4 linked regions of the Drosophila melanogaster genome follow. Changing the gene in region 4 together with the main gene of any one other region gives a genetic interaction. Each region holds a gene or a part of one and is shown on either strand. Other genes may lie near its edges. The genes, in order: fra, Abl, Fmr1 and Dscam1.

What was found.
Region 1: of Dscam1 (region 4) and fra, changing one enhances a phenotype caused by changing the other (phenotypic enhancement), as found in Drosophila melanogaster (one study listed by BioGRID).
Region 2: of Dscam1 (region 4) and Abl, changing one suppresses a phenotype caused by changing the other (phenotypic suppression), as found in Drosophila melanogaster (one study listed by BioGRID).
Region 3: of Dscam1 (region 4) and Fmr1, changing one suppresses a phenotype caused by changing the other (phenotypic suppression), as found in Drosophila melanogaster (2 studies listed by BioGRID).

The regions. Positions count from the first base shown.
Region 1 is NT_033778.4:12,527,159-12,532,104, forward strand, and holds the start of fra (frazzled), read left to right. Parts: upstream 1-1,894; 5' UTR 1,895-2,568; coding exon 2,569-2,668; intron 2,669-4,946.
Region 2 is NT_037436.4:16,644,850-16,649,448, forward strand, and holds the start of Abl (Abl tyrosine kinase), read right to left. Parts: upstream 3,034-4,599; 5' UTR 2,295-3,033; coding exon 1,961-2,294; intron 1-1,960. UniProt on the Drosophila melanogaster protein: Arm and Abl proteins function cooperatively at adherens junctions in both the CNS and epidermis; critical for embryonic epithelial morphogenesis regulating cell shape changes and cell migration.
Region 3 is NT_033777.3:10,107,065-10,111,959, forward strand, and holds the start of Fmr1 (fragile X messenger ribonucleoprotein 1), read right to left. Parts: upstream 3,058-4,895; 5' UTR 2,752-3,057; intron 2,545-2,751; exon of another isoform or gene 2,460-2,544; intron 2,160-2,459; exon of another isoform or gene 2,008-2,159; 5' UTR 1,912-2,007; intron 1,848-1,911; 5' UTR 1,826-1,847; coding exon 1,631-1,825; intron 1,279-1,630; exon of another isoform or gene 1,166-1,278; intron 416-1,165; coding exon 366-415; intron 1-365. UniProt on the Drosophila melanogaster protein: Polyribosome-associated RNA-binding protein that plays a role in neuronal development and synaptic plasticity through the regulation of protein synthesis of mRNAs.
Region 4 is NT_033778.4:7,378,828-7,383,427, forward strand, and holds the start of Dscam1 (down syndrome cell adhesion molecule 1), read right to left. Parts: upstream 3,043-4,600; 5' UTR 2,644-3,042; intron 1-2,643. Other genes in the region: cos (costa), read right to left, coding at 4,370-4,600. UniProt on the Drosophila melanogaster protein: Cell surface receptor involved in guidance and targeting of growing nerve axons.

The sequences.
Region 1 (4,946 bases), 5.1 Mb from region 4:
CACCGGTTTGCTGGCCATTGTTGTTGCTGCCAGGCGTCGCAATTTGCTGCCTGCGTCGCCTGTCGCCGCCAATTAAGTCGGGAAATGGCCAACTATTTTAGCCGACTGACAATCAAAGTGATGGAAATGCATACTAATAATAGTAAGCCCTGATTAATCAGGTTTTTATTAACAGAAAGTACTTTAAACTCTATCTATATACCTAATTTAAAATCAAACTTAATTGTATCCCTTCCAGAATATCATAACTCATGAAGTATCACTTAAGCAAATATTCTGAACTTCCTAATGGCTCTGGATTTAAAATCTTTGCCTTTATTAGTTCTACCCAAGTTAACAACTTTCTTAGGAAGCGATTTGCAGTGAAAGTCTTTAGTGCCATGAACAATGGATTTGCCAAGTTAAACGAGAGAACCTTTTATATATTTAAGCAATTTCCATGTCCGAAGTGCATGCCTTAATTTATATATTACCACACACAGGCTTAATTCACTTAAGCGCCTTTTCGTGTCGGCACCTAAAAGCTTTGAATGGGAAGAACATCCGAATCAGAATCCAAATCACCATCAGTCGCCGCGTTTTGTGGGTGCCCAGAAGTTGCCCAACTTCAAGCTGGCATAACAGATACAGGGATGCGGATGCACATACAGATACGGATACTCGAAAGACTCGGTAGCTCGGATTAATTAAAACTGAAAATTGCAGTGGCGTCTGGTGGGGAAATGTGTGTGCTGCTTTTAAAAAACCTGCAATTAGCAGCGAAAAATCTCCGGTTCTGGTAATTTGATCCAAGTCCTCGAAACTTGACCCACATTTTGTGGGCATACGGATGATACGCTAATGAAGGGAATTTCATTTCACTTATTTTTGCGGCCTGCCAGTCCAAAAAAAAATGCCTCCCCCTTCTTTTTCACCCCGTCGTTTATTTTTACGACGCTTTCGCTTAAGCGCTGGCATTTAATGTGAAATTTATCATTTCAACGCCACGCCCCCCACCCCACGCCCAACCAACAATTTGTCGGCCTTGGTCGGATTTTTTATTGCGTTCACATTTCTCCGAGGCGAAAAGTGATATGTTCATTTTTTCAGCCTTTAAAGTTCCTGCTGGTTGCTGGTCGGCGCTTTTAAAATGAGTGTTCCTTTGCCACATGCATTTTTTTAGAGCCACAACTTTTAACCACAACCTGTCTGCACGTCGGTTGCTCGGGGGTGGCAATCACTGGCCAACTGCAAAAAATGCATTTCAAACAGGAGATTTTCCCATTGGTTTGAGCATAAAGTTTTCTGTCAAAGGATTTTTCTGAAATAACGTACTTATGAACAAGATCAGTCGGGGAGAAAGTTGAGGTACATTTCGAAAGCCATTAAAATTTTTAAGTATTAATCTCCTGTGACTCTCATAAAAAGAAATTTGTGTAAAGTAAAACCGAAAATATGTGAAATTTTAAAATATTTAAAAATATAGGAGCAAACCTTTTGAATACCGATATAAATTCATATGATTAATATCCCAACTGCAAATGTCCTCGAAATAATAATGTTTGTTGCTTTTGATGTGTAATTGACTTTGGTCCTAACTTTTGAATTACGCGCCATTTGGAATAAATTGCTCAACTGACCTTAACGCGTTTTTGGTGATGTGCACTCCAGTATCGATTGCTTTTCAATGTCGATGACAGTCATTAAAATATATTATGATTACGTTAGTAAGAAAGCTGAGCACTGATTACTACGTTACTTATGGAAACCCCTTTGTAAAATGATAATGAATTTATAATATGCAAGAATAACATGGTGCGAAAGTCATTTCATCGTCATCGATAGTAGTGAGACCATCGATAAGCATCGATAGCGGATGTGTTTTCGCATCACCCGCGCAGCTAGGGATTTTTTCGACAGTTTCGGATTTTTTTTCGGTCGTCGAGGTCGTTGCGCGCATGTATACTCTTTAGTGGCGAGAAAACGCGTTTGCCAATAGTAAAATCCATCGCAAAGAGGTAGAAAATTAAAATAAGTGCAGCCAAAATCGAAAATAAATGAAAAAGGCACTCAAATAATACATACAGCCGCTGAAAATGTGTTTTAAATAGAACTGCAGCTGCAAGTCCTGATGCCTGCCGAAGGTTAGAGCGAGACAACGCTACTTACTCGAGTGTGTGTGCGCAATTTGTTGATAGTATTTTCTGTTGTTGTAAAAATGCCCCGCTTGCAAGCGTGCAATAACAGCAACAACAAGACCTGAAACAACAACAATAGGCGGCGAATGCCGGCAAAACAAAAACGCGTAAACGATTGATGCGAATAGCGTAAAACAAGAGAATCGAAAGCAATAATCGCCCAAGAATACACAACAAAAGTGGAGTGAGTAAAAGTCGCGTGTGAGTGTTTGCGTCGCGTGTATGTGTGGGTGCAAAGGATACAAATAGAAGGCGCAATCGGCGATTGGCGGGTATCAAGAGCCAAAATGTTGTAAACAAATCGCAAAAGTCCAAATAAACCTGAGCCATTCGAATTACCTCCGATCGCAAACGACGGTTTCCAGCCAAATCAGCGAAAAGCAAACAGAATATGGCCATCACAACAAACAGAAGCAGCAGGACTTTGTGGAACTGGCTGCTCAGCAGTTGTCTCATATTCCAGCTGATTGGCAGCAGTTTGGCAAGTCAAGGTGAGAACTTCAATCTGAAATGATAAATATTTTGCACCAAAGTGCCGTAAGAGGGCTTTATAAAAATGTAGATAGTTTCTATCTTTCGCTGTGCAGGTTGTCAATTTATAATTTTAAACCAAAGACCCATGAAATCCAAGCTTAGTTGCTTACACAGAAAGACATTATCAAATTGTGTACATATATAGATTATTAAAGAGATTATAAAAGATATAAAAAAAATTTTATGAACATGTGATTGAACTTTAATTCTTGGGCTGCGCCTTAATTGCCTTCTGACAGGAGGAAATAATCTAAAACAGTGTATAAATTCGGTAGATTAGATGAGTTTATATCACTTCAATAAATATTACGATTAAATAGTACGAATAGATGAACTACGTGGTTTGTCAGCCCAGTAATTTTTAGTTCACTACACTCATCCACCATATTTTATGACACTATCTGTTACTTTACTCTTCGTACAATTCCCTATCTATGTTGTGTATTCGGGTACCATAAAGTTCGATATCTGTATTTTAACAAATATGAATGCAAGTACAGTTTTGGCGACTGGATGTCTGGTCGACGTGCCAGAAAGCAGGCATTGGGACCCACAAAAAAAAAAAAGCCTCATGTGCGAAAGGTGATGTCAACGGCGAACTGATCCGATAAGCTGTCATATTTCGCAACTCGCGCTCTTTTTGCACTCGTAAAATTGAGGTACTTTCAAAAACCCTGCCCTATTCCATCCACATGTGCCAATCACCCGGGGTAATTCACCGTAATTGCTTCCCATCATATCACCTGCAGATAAGAACTCAAAATGGGATGGTTGCGAAACCGATAGTGCTTCAAAACTTAAACATTACTAATGAGCTTCGCTTGAAACGAGATAAACTAAACACTGCACAACATGAATTGAAAACCAACGCACTTGTTTGCGATTATTTGAGCCAAAACAAACACGATTTCCTGTGAAAAAGTATTCTGAAATCGAAGAAATAGAATCCAACAAAATGGTAGCCGTAAGAGTCATTATCATTAGCTCAAAGCCAGGGAACAAGTGATCTTAGGGGATCAGGTAGGTAAGCGCAGGTAGAACCAGTGCAGCCCAAAATGCAATTAGGTTTTAGGATCAGGCACAGTTTCAGTTTTAGGTCCCAGAAGAAGATTACCCAAGATCGGTGGGCAGCTGCACAATGCATCAATTGATTGATTTGGTTTGAAAACTAAGCCAGGGGTGGCTTAGAGGCTTATCATATTTCCATTTTCGGCTGGAGAAATAAACAATCGCGTAAAATGAGGGAGGGATAATGGAAATCCCCGCAAAAGGCGCAAATAATGCAAACAAATTAAATGTCCTGCCGTGAATCTCGTCTCTGCGCCATCTTCGAAACGAGAAAGAAAAGCCACCCCTAAAAGTGAAAAGTGTCCTGGAAAAACGGGGAGCCGCCTTATCAGCTGCAAAATTTATCAACGCCAGCTCCAAGACAGCCCGAAAAAGGACCCCAAAAAAAGTGCGGTCGTAAAAAATTGTCGGGGCATGTCATATGCAAATGGAATGAAAAATCTTTGAACAAATTTTTAGGTCATGGCATGTCATAAGTCGCAGGACTTAATGCCAGATTTAATTAAAAGCATTCCCTCACATAACTTCAAGCTTTATGTGGTGGGTATGTAATTAAAAAAAAAAGAAAACAACTTTACTTACATGGGTGTAACTAGCTGAAAAGAATTGTGTGACAACAATGGACTCACGTGGCTTCACGACCACTTAGTACCGTATAATAATGCATCAATTAAGGTTGATAAGATACTATGAAAGTAAGACAAAGTTAGACATTTCCGTGTTAGTTAAATTAAATTATAGAAAAGCATTTTAATAATTTATTTTGATCTTTAGATCTATGTGGCCTTAAGACACCCTTGTGGTTTTTTCTATCTTGCTAAACAAACTAGTTGATTTTATAGAAGGATCCTACTTATACCGTGTACGAAAAACTCACGTGCGAGGTCCTGTTCCCATTTTCGTGCTTATTTGTGGCGCTCTGTGTTTTCACTTTCCTGGTCATATTTCCTCGCTCTTTAGCCCGTGAATTGTGGCAATTGTTTGATGTTGTCCTGGGCGAGTCGCCTCACCCTGGCGTTCACTGGCTTTTTCCCGTGGCCAGGAGCACATTTAGCCGCATTACGTGATACAATATATGAGTGACATGTTATTCTAATTTCGCACCCCTTTTCATATTCCTGGACACATTTTTTCCGCTCGTTCCGAGGGTGCGCTTGTCAAAATAAA
Region 2 (4,599 bases), on a different chromosome or scaffold from region 4:
CAAGAAGAAAAATCTACAGCTTATTGTAAATCATCTGGGAAAAGTGGCTCAGCTTGGAGTGCCAAGGAAAAATCAATACTTTGGCCAAGCCATTCGTTTGGGAGATGAATAGTTTGCAAAAGGAAGTATTTACATCAAAAGTTAAAAAGTAAAATAATAAAGGATTAAATTTCAATTTTCGAACTTAAGCAAATTTATGGATTTAATACATTTAGGAACAGATTGTCGCGCGTGTAAATATCAAAACTCGGAAAAGTCCACTTTCAGTTTGAAACAGCTGTTGCGAAAATGGCTTGCAATTGTCAGGGGAATAAGGCAACACGATTTCAAGTTAAAAAACTACCTTACTATTAATACGACCCTCGTCATGTATTCTCATACATAGTTATGCTTTTTGTTAAAAAAAAAGTTCTACCACTGAGTCTGCGTAACTATTATAACCTGACAAATGTTTTTCCGGTAGTCTTGAGAAAATCCCGAATGCCACCCGATTGTGGGTCCTATTGTGGTAGGACTTCGTCGACATGGACATAAAAAAGCTATTAGAAACGGCAAATGTCTCCCAATAAGTGGGTGTGCGGAAAATGCGGAAACGGGGAGGATGTAAAGAAAAAATTATGCAGCTTGGCAGGGCAAATAATGGAAAAGTATTAGACAAAAAAATGAGGCAAATAAAAATGTGCGTGAGTGCGTGAAGGGCAGGAAAAATGCAAGGGGAAATGCGGAAAAGTGGAGGAAATGGCAATATGTCAGCGGGGGTGGGATAACGGTGTTGTGGGTCGCAATTTCAACCACTGTGCGGGTGGCAGGGATAAGGGTGCCACGAGGAAGGCCGAAGGATAAAGGATGATGGAGAGCACGAATGCGGATTGAAACCGCCCCAAGCAGCACAAAAACAACAGCAACGCGTGCTGCTCTCTCTCTTTTCTCTTCTCTCCTTCACTTTTCTTTCTCATTCATTCTCCTTCTCTCCAGTAAACAAAAGCAGCGGAAAAGCAACAACAAGTATGAAACTAGCCGGCAATAACAACAATAATTTCCTATATAATCGGAAGAAATGGAGGAAAAAAGAAATTGGCTCAATTGGAAAGCAGCGTATATAGAGGAAGGGCGGGGATCATAAAGAAGGAGAGAGGGGGAAAGGGAAAGCCGAGTGGACTGCACTTTATGAACAATAAATACAACACTGTGCAGCCCAAACTGGCAGATAAATCAAAACTTACATGATATTTACAAAAGAGATTTAATGGCAAGAGCACGCTTAAAAAAGCATTTTTTTATTGAAAGTACCCCCATTGAATAAGTTTTTAGTTACTGATTTCTTGAATGTCCTTAAAAACTGTTGTATGGAATATCAAAAGATTTCATCACGAATTGAAATGATTGTGGTGGATGTGAGATAACACAACTCTGAGCAATTGGCAATACAGCAACAACAATTTCCATGTATAATAAGAAAAGTCACAATACTATGATGGAATTTACACCTGAGTTTGGAGGCTGCATGCAATTTTTTACAATTAGTGTGTAAGTGAATGGGACCTCCAAATGTATGCATGTTTGTGCATCCTCTGACTTTTATATGTATGTTACACAACACTTATACAGATCGATTTGGTCCAGATGATTTCTACGATTGATGCCTTTTTAACTCAAACTACAATGTGCAAGAAAATAATTCTAAGATCCAATGTAAAAGAAGAAACACCAATGAGAAATAAGTCAAGCTTACAGAAATCGAAACACAAAATGATCAAACCACTAAATAACTTCGAATAGAAAACAAAATTTTAGTGCACACCTAATTTTATAAAAACGATTTTGATTGAGCGTGCACTATGTACAGACGTTTTTCGTTTAATTTGACTTAACAAGGCTTTCAAATTTTGAAAATATGCTTTTTGCTCTGTGTACTTAGCATGCTTTCGATGCCTGTTTTCCAACACTTGCAGGAACTTACCGTTATGCTCGGTGAATATGTTGAGACCCACGGTGGGATTGCAGCGTGCATCCTTGTGTCCGCCACTACGCTGGCTCAGCCCCGATCCGGATCCGCCACCGCCTCCGCCCGATCCGCTGCCACTGGCCACGCCGGAGGACGAGGACTTGATGCGGGAGCCACGGAGCGTGGAGCCCCCGCCGAGGGGGGCGCTGCTGACGCCGCTGGAACTGGAGATGCAGTGGGGGGAAACGGAGGCCACTGGGCTGCTGGAGAGGCCGATGCAGCTGACGGGGGCCCCCGAGCCGCCTCCTCCCGAGTGGGCGCCCCTGTCCTTGCCCTGCTGAGCCCCCATTTGCCAGTGGGTGGTTGGGTGGTTTTTCGCTCTTGCGCAGCAACAACAACTTGTACACTTTTCTCTCTCTTCTCTCGGCTCCTGCTGCTACGGCTTATTCGCTTACTACTACTACTTATTATTTGCTTTGCTTTTCTTGTTATATACTTCAGCTTTAACTCTTCTCTCTTGGCCTTTTGCTCAATTATTTGCCGTTTTGCCTTTTGCTTTGCTTTAATTTATTTCACACACACACACGCACACATTTTTCTTTCTCTTTCTGCGTTTTTGGAGTAGACAAAAAAGATTGGAGACACTCACGCACACACAGAAGTACACACGCACGGAGGAAAAAGGAAGTTTGCGATTTATCTGATTTGTTGTTCTAGTGGCCGCTCAGGTGCAATTGCGAATTTGCAGCATGTTGGTAAAATGTTGTGTCGGCAAACTTCTTGTCGACGGCTGGGAGGCTGGGTGAGCTTAACTGGCGAGGGGGGTCTCAAAAACACGCCCTGAAAATGCACTTTGTCTTGCGCCTCCGCCTCTGGCTTCACCTCTCTCTCTTGCTTACGCTCGCCTGCTCTGTTTTTTACGGTTTAATTGATCCGCAGGCTGATCCGCTGAACATGGCAAATTAATCGGTTTTCGCGACGATATAGCTCTATCTGATCTGCTAGCGTTGCTTGCTGATTTATCTACATCTGTGCATTTTTTCCACGCACCGCGACGGATCGAATTGGAATCCAACTTGCACTCGTGTGACCGCTTGTCGGTCGTTTAAACATACCCTACTTGGCAGCATACCGATAGACGTATCGATATTGATAATAAATGCTTAGTACTTACGAACGCGTTGGCAGCGCTAGTTTGGTAAGAAACTCGGCTAATGCAATATGATGGGTGCGCGACACGGACTGGTTGGGTGGTTAACTTAGCTTAGTAAGCCAGTGCTTAAAAACTCCATGATTGTGAACACTAATTTTTGGTTGTTCAAAAAAAAATTAAATTCAAACGTTTAAAACACATAATTTGAATTAAAAGAATCTTGATATAGCTTTCTAGGAAAAGTTTATTCTCTTTAGATTTTCAATGCAATGCAACTTATAACATTATCTTTAATTTTTCATGGATACACTTCGAATTTTTTCGACTATTGCGTCAACCCTAGTTTAGTTTATTGATTTTAAGAGAAAACTGACTCAAATCAAAATGTAATTGACATTTAAAAACATCGAATAATCAAGCTACGGTTTTTATAATATGCCTTTAGATGTATTCATAAATTCCCATTTAGCCCGACTAATAAATACAACTGCAATACTTTCCATCCTTTTCCGTTTGTTACGTTTTATTTATCCGTTGGTTTTGTTTAGCATTCTCAATCTTTAGTGTTCTTGCTTAGTTATTATTTAGTATGTATACCCGACAGAAATTTCAAGTTTGTTCGTTTCAATTTCTCTCTCCTGCTAGAGTTCAGTATCAATCGATCCTTCTCTCCATTCACACGATCCTCCTTCAGCTTCTGCTCCGATTTCATTTTCAGTTACATTTTCCTCGCTTACACTAAATTAACTTTTCAAGTAGGACTTTTGCTTTTCATTTTCTCGGTTTTGCTCTTTCACATGCGATCTCTTCTGTTCTGTTCGCTTACAAGTATAAATATAATTTAATTTTTCTCTGGTTATTATTATTTTACGTTCTTTTTTTTTTTTTTTTTTGTTACGTTCAAGGACTTTCTGTGGCTTTGTTAAGTTACCAAAAAGCAGCAAGAAATTTGAAGGAATATTCAAATGCATTTAACACAGGTTAACTAAATAAATGCCTTCCCCTAACAGAATCGAACTTTTTGTATTGCAGCATGACTGACACACTGGTTAAAACTATACTGACTGACTGGAATATATGTTAAAATTTCAAAAATATTTTATTGGTGACTATGACAATGCTTCGACTTAATCCAGTCAGTCAGCAACATTTTATCAGACGTCTTTTCGACTGTTATAAATATTGTTTGTTCTTACAGATTTGAAAACAGTTTATTACTTTACAATAACAATTTGCGCTCTGGATCTTGGAACAATAGACTAACTTAGTGTTTTGTTATTGGTTGGTATTCCGTTTTCACGTGTTTAATATTCCGTTAATATAGGTTTTTATAAATATATATGCGTATAGACTTAGAAGTACAAAGTTCTCAGACCCCAACTACAAGTGATTTTAGGAAAACAGTTCTCCAGTAAATCAAATTCAATTTCAACCAAAAATGCCTGTCGTTCAAGTATCGCAAACTGTGCGATATCCAAACTGAAGGCAGGAGTCTGATCCT
Region 3 (4,895 bases), on a different chromosome or scaffold from region 4:
GGATGGCGTTGGTCAGTCTGTCAGTCAGCAGTTTTATTTGATTTGGCTCATTTTTTTTTTCTTTTTTATCAACTAATAGCAACAGAAACTGCTGCAGCGGCGTCTGGCGTTTAACAAATTGCGCCAAATTAGTGAGTCCGCAGTAGGGGATTCGGCGGGAAGTGGTTTGGCGGATGGCGGACGACACAAATGATGCGTGCCCAGAATCTCTAATTTCTAATTCGGATGCCAAGAAGTCGCGTCGGTGGTTGTTGCTGCTCCTGCTGCAGCTCTGATTGTATTAATCGTTGCAAATTAGTTAGAAAATACGCTCTAGTTGTTGTTGTTTGCCCTGTTCGCAGATTTGTTTGTTTAAACAAACTTACCCGTCCACATCCACAAAGATGCCATCATCGGCGACAGCTGTCACCTGGCCCTGTTGTTGTTGTTGTCGTCGTCGTCGTAGTTTTTAGTTTGCAGTTGTAGTTTTTTGTTGGCGGCAGGCAGGCAGCAAACGGATGAAATACAAGAGCATTGACAGGGCCAGCATCGGAAGGCATAGGAGTAGAGAGAGAAAAATGTGTGTCATTAATGTGGCCATTGCCTATGATATACCTCCATTCGGATGTGTGTATATGCATAAGTATATAAAATATATTTTTACGATAGTCCCCCCAATCCCGTCCCATTGTGAAATCGAGAATTGCAATGGCATTAGCGAGGGAAACCGTATATCTCCGATAAGCGAGTAGTCGTAGAACCTTATCCGAAATGCAAACAGCCGACAGCTGAATCATCAGCATCAGGGAAGTCGCTCTAGTCGAGTGTGTTTATGTGCATTGCCCTTGTTTTGATTCCAAGCACTGAAATCAAAGGCAACGCTATGCAAAGTATTCACTACCTTACTATACATATCCAGAAGGTTTCCAGAATAGGTTAGCTAATGATGGGGATAAGTACTAAGAACAATAATTGAAAGTATAAGAATATTCTTAAGTGCACTGTTATCTGGTTTCCAAAATGTCTATATTATCATTGGAAAATTTAAGCCTATAAGCATACATTTTTGCTGAATTTGTTTAAACAGTGAACAATAAAACACATCAAAAGCTAGCATTATGAATGGGATTTAAGACTGAACTTCGTTCATAAGACTAATGATTCGAGATCTAACAACCTCGTATACCTGTAATCTATCCGCGAAAATCACTTAACCGCGATATAAGATGGTTTAATCGGATCTTATCTTTATAAATTGCAACGACAAGAAAGGGAAATCATCAAAACAACAAAACCGAATGCACGACGACGTCAGTGGGCAGCGCAGTGGGCGGCGCGGTCCGCGTCGACATCGACATCGACGTCGACGTCGGCACCCCCACAACGCAGTGTGCGTGAGTGCGTTGGTGTATGCAGATTGGCGATGGTGCTGGTATTAGTGTAGTAGTGGTAGTGGTAGTGGTGGTGGTGGTGGCGATGATGTCGAGACTCCACTCAAAATGTTGCTGTTTATTAATAGAAATAAAGCTAAAATCCACGAAATTAGAAACTGAGGCAGCTGCTGCCCCAACTCCTTGCTCCTCTGTTTTTCCTTCTTTTTTTTTGTCACCCCCTTACCAACATTTTTATTCCACCAATTGAATCAACTCACCTTGTAGTAGGCGCCATTGTCGAGCCGAACTTCCACGAGGAGATCTTCCATATCGCCAGACGTAGTGCCTCCTGGTTTATCCGCTTTGTTTTGGTTCTGGTTCTGGTGGTTCTTCGCCGTCCGTCCCTGTCCCTCCTGCTGCTGATGCTGATGCTGCCCAGCCTTCAACTCCCGACTTTTCCCCGTCGACTGCAGTTTGCCGCGTTATCTGGGGCTCCTGAGGGGGAAGAATGGAGATATTAGGGCTATAGATATAGCTAGGTATGGGTGGGTATGCTCACAATTCAGTGTGCAGTGGCAGAAACCTCGCGTTCCTGCTTCTAGTTCCTTGTACTCAAATCAGTCTTTTGCTTGGCGGCTGCTGCTTCAAATGTTGCCTGTAATCAATAATAATATGGAATGGTTTTGTTTTTGGTATTTTTGAATTTTTGTATCTGGAGAGGGAGACTATATATTGACACACTAATAAAAAAAATAGTTGAAGAAAATTTTGAAGTTATTTTGGGGGCCAGATAATTCCTAGCTAAACACTAAATGCAGCTGGCGGCGAAGCCGGCAGCGACGTCGGCTTTGCCGGCAGCGCAGCAGCGCAGTGCTTCCTCTTCTTCTTTGTCTCTCTCCCTTTGTGTGTGTGAGCCCGCCGCCTCACACACACATGACCACCACCAAGCGTGTGCGCTCTCGCTCTCTTTTTCTCTCTCTCTCGCCGCCGAAATGCTTCGTTCGTTCGTTCACACCGATGAACACGCTTTTCCAATAAGAATTTGTACGCACACTACGAACGGCACATGCCGAATTTACATATCGAATTTACACATAATTTCCACACTTGCTTTCGATTTTCGCTTTTCTCAAAGAGAAGAAACATCAGCGTTGCGTAGCCGCTCGCCGTTTTTCTCGTTCTCGTTCTCTACTTTTCTTTTTGTATTTTATCGGTTTTCCTCTTTCAGCTGCTCCCTTTTGCTGCCGCTGCCGGCAGAGAGGCGGCGTCGCTGCTGTCGTCGACGTCGCAGCCGCCGACGATGTGCAAAATTTTTTGGTTTTTTTCGGTTCTTGCAAAATTTTTTCAACACTTTTTGCGGCTGTAATACACAAGAGACTGCAAATTTTTGAAAACTTACTGCTGGCCGGCACTTTTGCACTTCGTTTGCCCTCGGCGGATGCCTGTGAATGCGGCTTTAACCTTTGAAAATACAAAATATATCGCGTGCAGTGCTGCTTCAATTTTTTTCGGCTGCGCTGCGTTCTCTTCGTTTTGCTTTTGCACACTTTCGCAGCTCGGCAACGTTCTACTGGAGTTGCCACCCGTTTACAATCGGCGCGCGTTACTGGCCACTTCGGATGGTTTTGGCTAGATTTCGGGCGTGTTTGGCCCAAGCGATAAATTTGTGAAAATAAGATACGAAATTTTTGATAAATGATTTGTGCTCTATAACACAGGGCTTGTTTGAAAGCGAGAGAAAAATGATCTGACAGTAAAGTGGCAAGGCTGCTAAGTGACAGCTCACCGGGCCTTGCCAGAGTGACTATAAGTTGTGGGTTCACAATAAACAGGGTTGTATTTTAAGCGCGCTAGGCGGTTACGATTCGAAATTCAAAAAGCTGATAAGATCATTTAAAATTTAAATGAAGTCGACGAACCGAACACTATTGACTGCTCACTTAGTTTGCTGTCTGCTAACAACGTAATTGAATTGCTAGCCCATCAGCAGATTGATTCGCATGTTTGGTGGCTTTTCAATTGATTCGATTCGATTTTAATTTGCAGAACTGCTGACCACTACGCCTTAATGTTAATGTAATTGTCTATGTAATTGCAACGACTGCTGGGGTCAACAGTGGGCGCAATTTGCCACATGCGGTGTTTTATTTGCCCCTTTGATTGCCCCCAAATCGCGTGACGTCGCTGGCGCTTTTTGTCAACACGCTTGTTGAATTTGCTTTTTACTATTTTTTTTTTCTTATTTTGCCCTTCCATTCATGAAACGCATTTGATTATGAGTGGCCGATAAAGGTGCAGTGCGGTCTATTTGTAATCCAATTTCCATCAATTTTCAGCGGATCGGACAGCAGAAATCTGACGGAGTACTCCATTTAGGATGAAACCACATATTTGCTTGGAACTACTTAATAAGATTTATGAATTATATTTGTGAACTTTACTCTTGATTAATAAGTGGGCAAGTCTAAAAGCTCGCCTGTATTTAAATCGCATGCCATTTAGGCATTTGTGTGGTGAAAATGGGCCAACAAATTATAAAAATTCATGGCCAGTCAGTTAATGGGAACCATTAAATCCTTTATATGCCTGTGAATAGTTGGAAATTCTGTGTCTCTGTGCAAAGGCAATACCCTCTACTCGCCATTTTCGCATTTCCCAGCCTATTTGCAGGCAGATTCCGTTAAAATCCCATAACAATTTTCCATACAGGGTATCAAGATTCGCAATTCGATAGTCATAAATTACCGCTCGTGTTGACGGTAATTACTGTCAAGCGGCGATTTGTTGCGGAAATGCAGTTTCTGATTTGATTTTCCCGCGCCCTTGCCCACCAGTTAACCACCCCTATTTCAACCGCTTTTCCACTGCCGAGGAAAATGAGAGCAGCTGCCGTTTGACATTGACTTTTGTTCTACCTTTTGGCACATTAACTGCACTTTAATGACGTCGACATGGCCAACAAAAGAGCGAAAGTTCAGCGACGACAGCCCCTCCTCCTCTCGCATCTAGCCATCTCGCTCGCACCCCAGAATTTGTCCCGCTCAATTAGCATTATGTTCGTTTCGCGATCGGATTTGAAACGATTCGGTTCGGGTGCAATTGCAGTGCAACAATTGGTCACTTCGGGCACTAAATTAATTTAAATTCTAATTTTAACCGCGTGGAGGGATCAAGTGAAATTTATTTGCCAAAATGTGACAATCTCGATCGTGACAGGTACGTCACTTCCTCTCGACGTAAAATACACTGCGAGGAATATTCGGGCAAGTAAATTTTTCAATAATAAATAAGATAATACATTCCTTATAAAAGGTGTTCACTGCATTTGTAATTATAGTAACATAAAGAATTCGCGCATAAGTGTGAATATTAATAGAAATAAAATTCAATAAGTTTAGTCATTCTCAAATTGCTGGAGCAAATTCTGAGCAACAATACCCTTAATACGAAAGTTAAATTTATTTTTTCTTTTGTTTAATGGTTAAAAAAGATGAGATCATCCTTCTAAAAAACCAGGTAGTATCATTCCCTTGCTAATTATTT
Region 4 (4,600 bases):
TGGAGGGTCTACTGTACCCATGTTAGCTTTTCAATTGGCCTAATGAACAGACTGTAGCTTGCAGCAGGGAAACAGCTGCATCAAAGGCTCTGGGGTGGCCAAACTATTCCATCAGGGGTGTGGCATCAAACCCACGAGTTTATTAACCGAAAAATTCCCTTTTAAGCTGACTCTACTAAGTATTCCAGAAAAGTTTAGAATTAGAGAGAGGAATGCGGATGGTGGAAAATAGTTATGTATATTAATTATTTTTGAAATGTATTTGCTAATCAAAAACACACTTTGAAGACGAAGAAGTTTATCCACATATAGAAATGGTTGCAAATTTTAATTGAATCACGTTCCTTTAAGAATCATGTGCATTTTTCTAATCCATCAAGTATATCAATGAATTTAGATTTTTGTTTAAAAAATAAATAGATAAATCATAAATGGAAAAGTAATTTGCCCAAAATTGCCGAACAGCACGTAAATATTCGAGTAATGACTCATCAATACATCTCTCCTTGAGCTTTCAGCTTAGAAATTGTTCGCTTCCCATACCGACAACTGATGCTCGACTGAAGCAATTTGGAAAACATCTGGTAATCAGTCAACGGATCCAGGCATCCGTATAGGCAACATATGTGCGGATACATCTATACCATATACAATGTACCTACATAAAGAGATACAACCCTCGGTGAGCGGATCCGTTTGGTCAATCGCGTGGTAAAATCAACGAATCAAAAGCATTTTAATATTACTCATGCTCGCCTTTCGTATTCTTCTTGTTGCCCCGTCTGGCTGCATGTGTAACTTTAAATTGGGGTGACGAGCCAATAAATTTAGGAAGGGTGGTGCCGCAGGAATGGTCGGATGGGGCACAGTGGGCACTGAGGGCAGTGGCCCAGTGCAGGGTCGTCGGCGGAGGCAGAGGACACACATCCATTGTCCAGAAACGCTGCTGTGACCCATTCGCGCCCAGAGCTTCCGCACTGCGGCCCTAATTGAGATTCAAGTGCTCTCGGCGGCAGTAGAAACAAAAGGAAATATTTATTCGGTCCTTTGTTCACTTTAACCTTTTCCGCTGTGTCATGTTGCTGCCCAAGTGGAAATCAATATTTGCCTTCACAAGCGACCCGATGAGTGCATTCTCATCAAATCGATGAGAGCGGCCAAAGTAAATCTGTTTAACCACCAGCGTGCTGTGTATAAATTAGTTAGTGGGTGGAGTAACCATCACTAAAACAACTTAGAACTTATCTGAAATGTGTGTGAATAAAATGGCACACTATTGGATTTATTTATTGATTTTATTGGTTGCCAAAACTCATTGAGCACTTCGCTCAACGAGTGGAGCACTTTCAGAAAAGCTTATTAACGATTTCAAAAAATGTCCAGGATCTATTCAGTACATTTAAAGGGAGACACCAGTAATTCATGTGGGTAAATAAATAATTAGTTATTGTAAAATAAGTATAATAATTTACATTAAGCGGAGTATCAATGTAAACAGAAATTAAAAAAAATTAAATCAATAGTGCCTAAAATACTATTCAATAATATTACTGCAAGTTCATAGGTGTATAGGTAATTCACTGACTATTTTATTGCTCTGAAAACAGGGAGTCACATGGAAAATTGGCACTGGTCCAACTGGTGGGGAAAACCGCCTAGCAACAGGATGGCGAGCCGACGAAAAACCAGAAAAAGAAGCAGGAAAATAAAAAGTATATCGCCAGCAGACGCAGAAGGAAGCGGAGGAGGAGGGTAGTGCAACACTTGCAAAATCAAATAGTGGAAACTTCAGACACACCAGCAAGGAAAGGACGAAGGCAGCTGCACGGGATTTCAGTGATTTTACAAGCAGGGGATGAAACAACACTAACATCAGGACTCACACACACACACACATGTGCGCTGAAAGGATCGCGACGTATGTGTGCCACATGGAAACTGCGAAGAATTTTAAGAGGTTCTTGAGAATGAAGCGTTTTGAGTAGGGAAAGCTGAAAACTACCTGACGGCGACAAAGGACCAAGGACCTGGCGGCAGGAGGCACAGGTTGCACACACACACACACACACTGACTGACACACACGAATGGACGCACAAGCGAATACAACGGTAATCACAGAGTTGCTTTTCTGCGGTTCCAAGGGCGCATGCGCCGAAAAAAAATCGCTGAAAATTCAGGGACTGCAATTATTTCCTCTAAAACTCGATTTATAAATAAAAAGTAGCATGAAATATATAGAAACTCCCCTACGTACTAAACAAGACATTCGGAAATTTAGTATGAAACTTGTTTGGGAGTCGTAGAACATGCATATTTCCTCCCTCATGGCAGTACATTTTCACACCCTTTTGCAAGTGTGTGTGATGTGATACGGTGCATAAAGTAACCGTTTTTGCATTCCCAAATTGAAAAAACTTAACGTCTGGCGAAAAATCATAAGGAAGACCAAAGACTATTATCATCTAACCGATAAAATATCAACCTACAGCATCCTGCAGTTGATTTCGCAGACTAGCGCTACTCGGTGGGCGTGGGCAGGACTCACGCACACTTCTGCACCCAACCTATACATACACGACGGGCACAAAGAAGTTGCCAGACAACGGTGAAAATTTCCCAACGGTACCGCCGACTTTTCTTACCGTTATTGTTACTGCGGCTGGCCAAATTGTTTTTTAAATGCGATTAATTGTTAACACTCACACACACACACTTGTGAGAGTGGTGGGCTATTTGCAGCAGGGTGCCACTAATCCACGGGGGTGGCGACTCCGCACAAAAGCACGGCACACACAAACACAGATACTTTGCTCTGCTCTTGACTATCTTTCAGATACTTTGCATACTATTATTCACTTTTTTGTAGGGTGGTGCACTAGCACCGCTGCAACCGGTTGGCGGATTGCTAATCGCGTACCGCTGCCGTATATCCGTCTATCCGTACCCGTATCCGTATCGGTGTCCCAAAACAAACGCTCACACGCACACACAAATACTCGCACGCTCTCGCGATTCGCCGACTAGCGCTGAAATCCGGTTCTCGATCGCTCGACGGTCCAAACAAGACTGAATCGGATGCTCAGATACTCGCCATCGGATTTAGATACAACGCTTAAACCGGCGCTCTCTCTCTCTCCCTCTCATCCTCTCTCTTTGCGCTTTCTGTGTGTGTGTGTGTCCGAAGGGGCGATTGTTTGGGAAATTTCTGGGACATTTCTCACCTGTTGCCTTGTGGACTGTGTTTGCTTGGATTTCAGCTGCAAATGTAGAACTTAATTATCTTTATAAGACGATAACTATTTTATTTTGAATATAAAACACTGATTAAACACTGATTGATTAGTTTAGTTTGTATATATTTATTTGCTTAACCAACAATATCCACACAAAGCCATGCCGAGCGATTTGGCGGAATATGTATGCTTACAAATGTGTTTATAATTTTTCACACGCTGATATTGAGGGAACATACATACATTAATATCAATTTAAGTTACTCGGAGTACAGTGCAAACTGCATCTATATCAATGGACAATAAAAAATACGTTGTACACAACCAAACAGTATTGAATTTTAATTTTAAGTTAATGCAAAATGAGTATTGGATTAGCGCAAATACTGCGATTTGAAGCATTTATAAGTTGTACAGAGTAAATGCTTTTGATAGAATATTAAAGGTTAACACTTGGGTATGGAGTACGTATGTTGTAATTGGTATCGAAGGTCAATTAAAATTCGAGGGAAGACACAATAGTGTTTACAACTAAGCTAAAACTAACAAAATCAATTAAAATTAAGTGGTTACCTAATAATTATTGTTATGTACAAGTTAAACAATGCGGAGACTTAGGTCAACACTTTGAGCGAGTTTTGTGTACGGTTTGTCTTGCGAGTATCTTAAGTAGCAGGTCAAGTCTTTACGGTTGAATCTCATGAGGATAGTTACTTTCATATGCTAGGTGTATGTACGTGTGGGGGTTTCTAAAATAAATGCTCCCCAGCTAAAGAGCCGGAATGAGAACCATGTGTTGTAGTCTATTTGTGTCATGACTGTGGACGAAACTTGTTCAGTTCTTGTTACCAGGATCTGAGCTATTGCTTCACACTTAAAAAGATATCGAACTCCAGCCACTTTAATAAGTTAAACGACAAGCAGTAAACTAATAAATTCAAGCTGGTATATATGTCGGACTATTGATTAAAATGTATGCATGTATATGGGAGTAATCTGTTATACATTTTTAAGCATTTTTTTATATTATCGCCTTAATTATTAAAGTGGCTGGATTTCAGCTCATGGCTATTAATTGTATATGGCTATTTGGCTTAACCTTATAATATCGTCCTGGAAATGGTTAAATTCGTATTTAGTTTCGACGACTTGCGTCCTGGATAATTATCTTGTTCTTCTGACGCGTCACTTTCGTGGCCGTCGGAGCTGGCATCAGACGCTTCAGCTGCTCCGGCCTGAAGCTGACCAGGGCCTTGTCCTTCACTTTTCCTACGGCTCCAGTGGTGGTTGTCGACGTAGTGGTTGCCGTGGCCGTGGTGGTTGACTCAATCAGGGCCGTGGATTCCTCGGCCGTGGACCCTGAGGA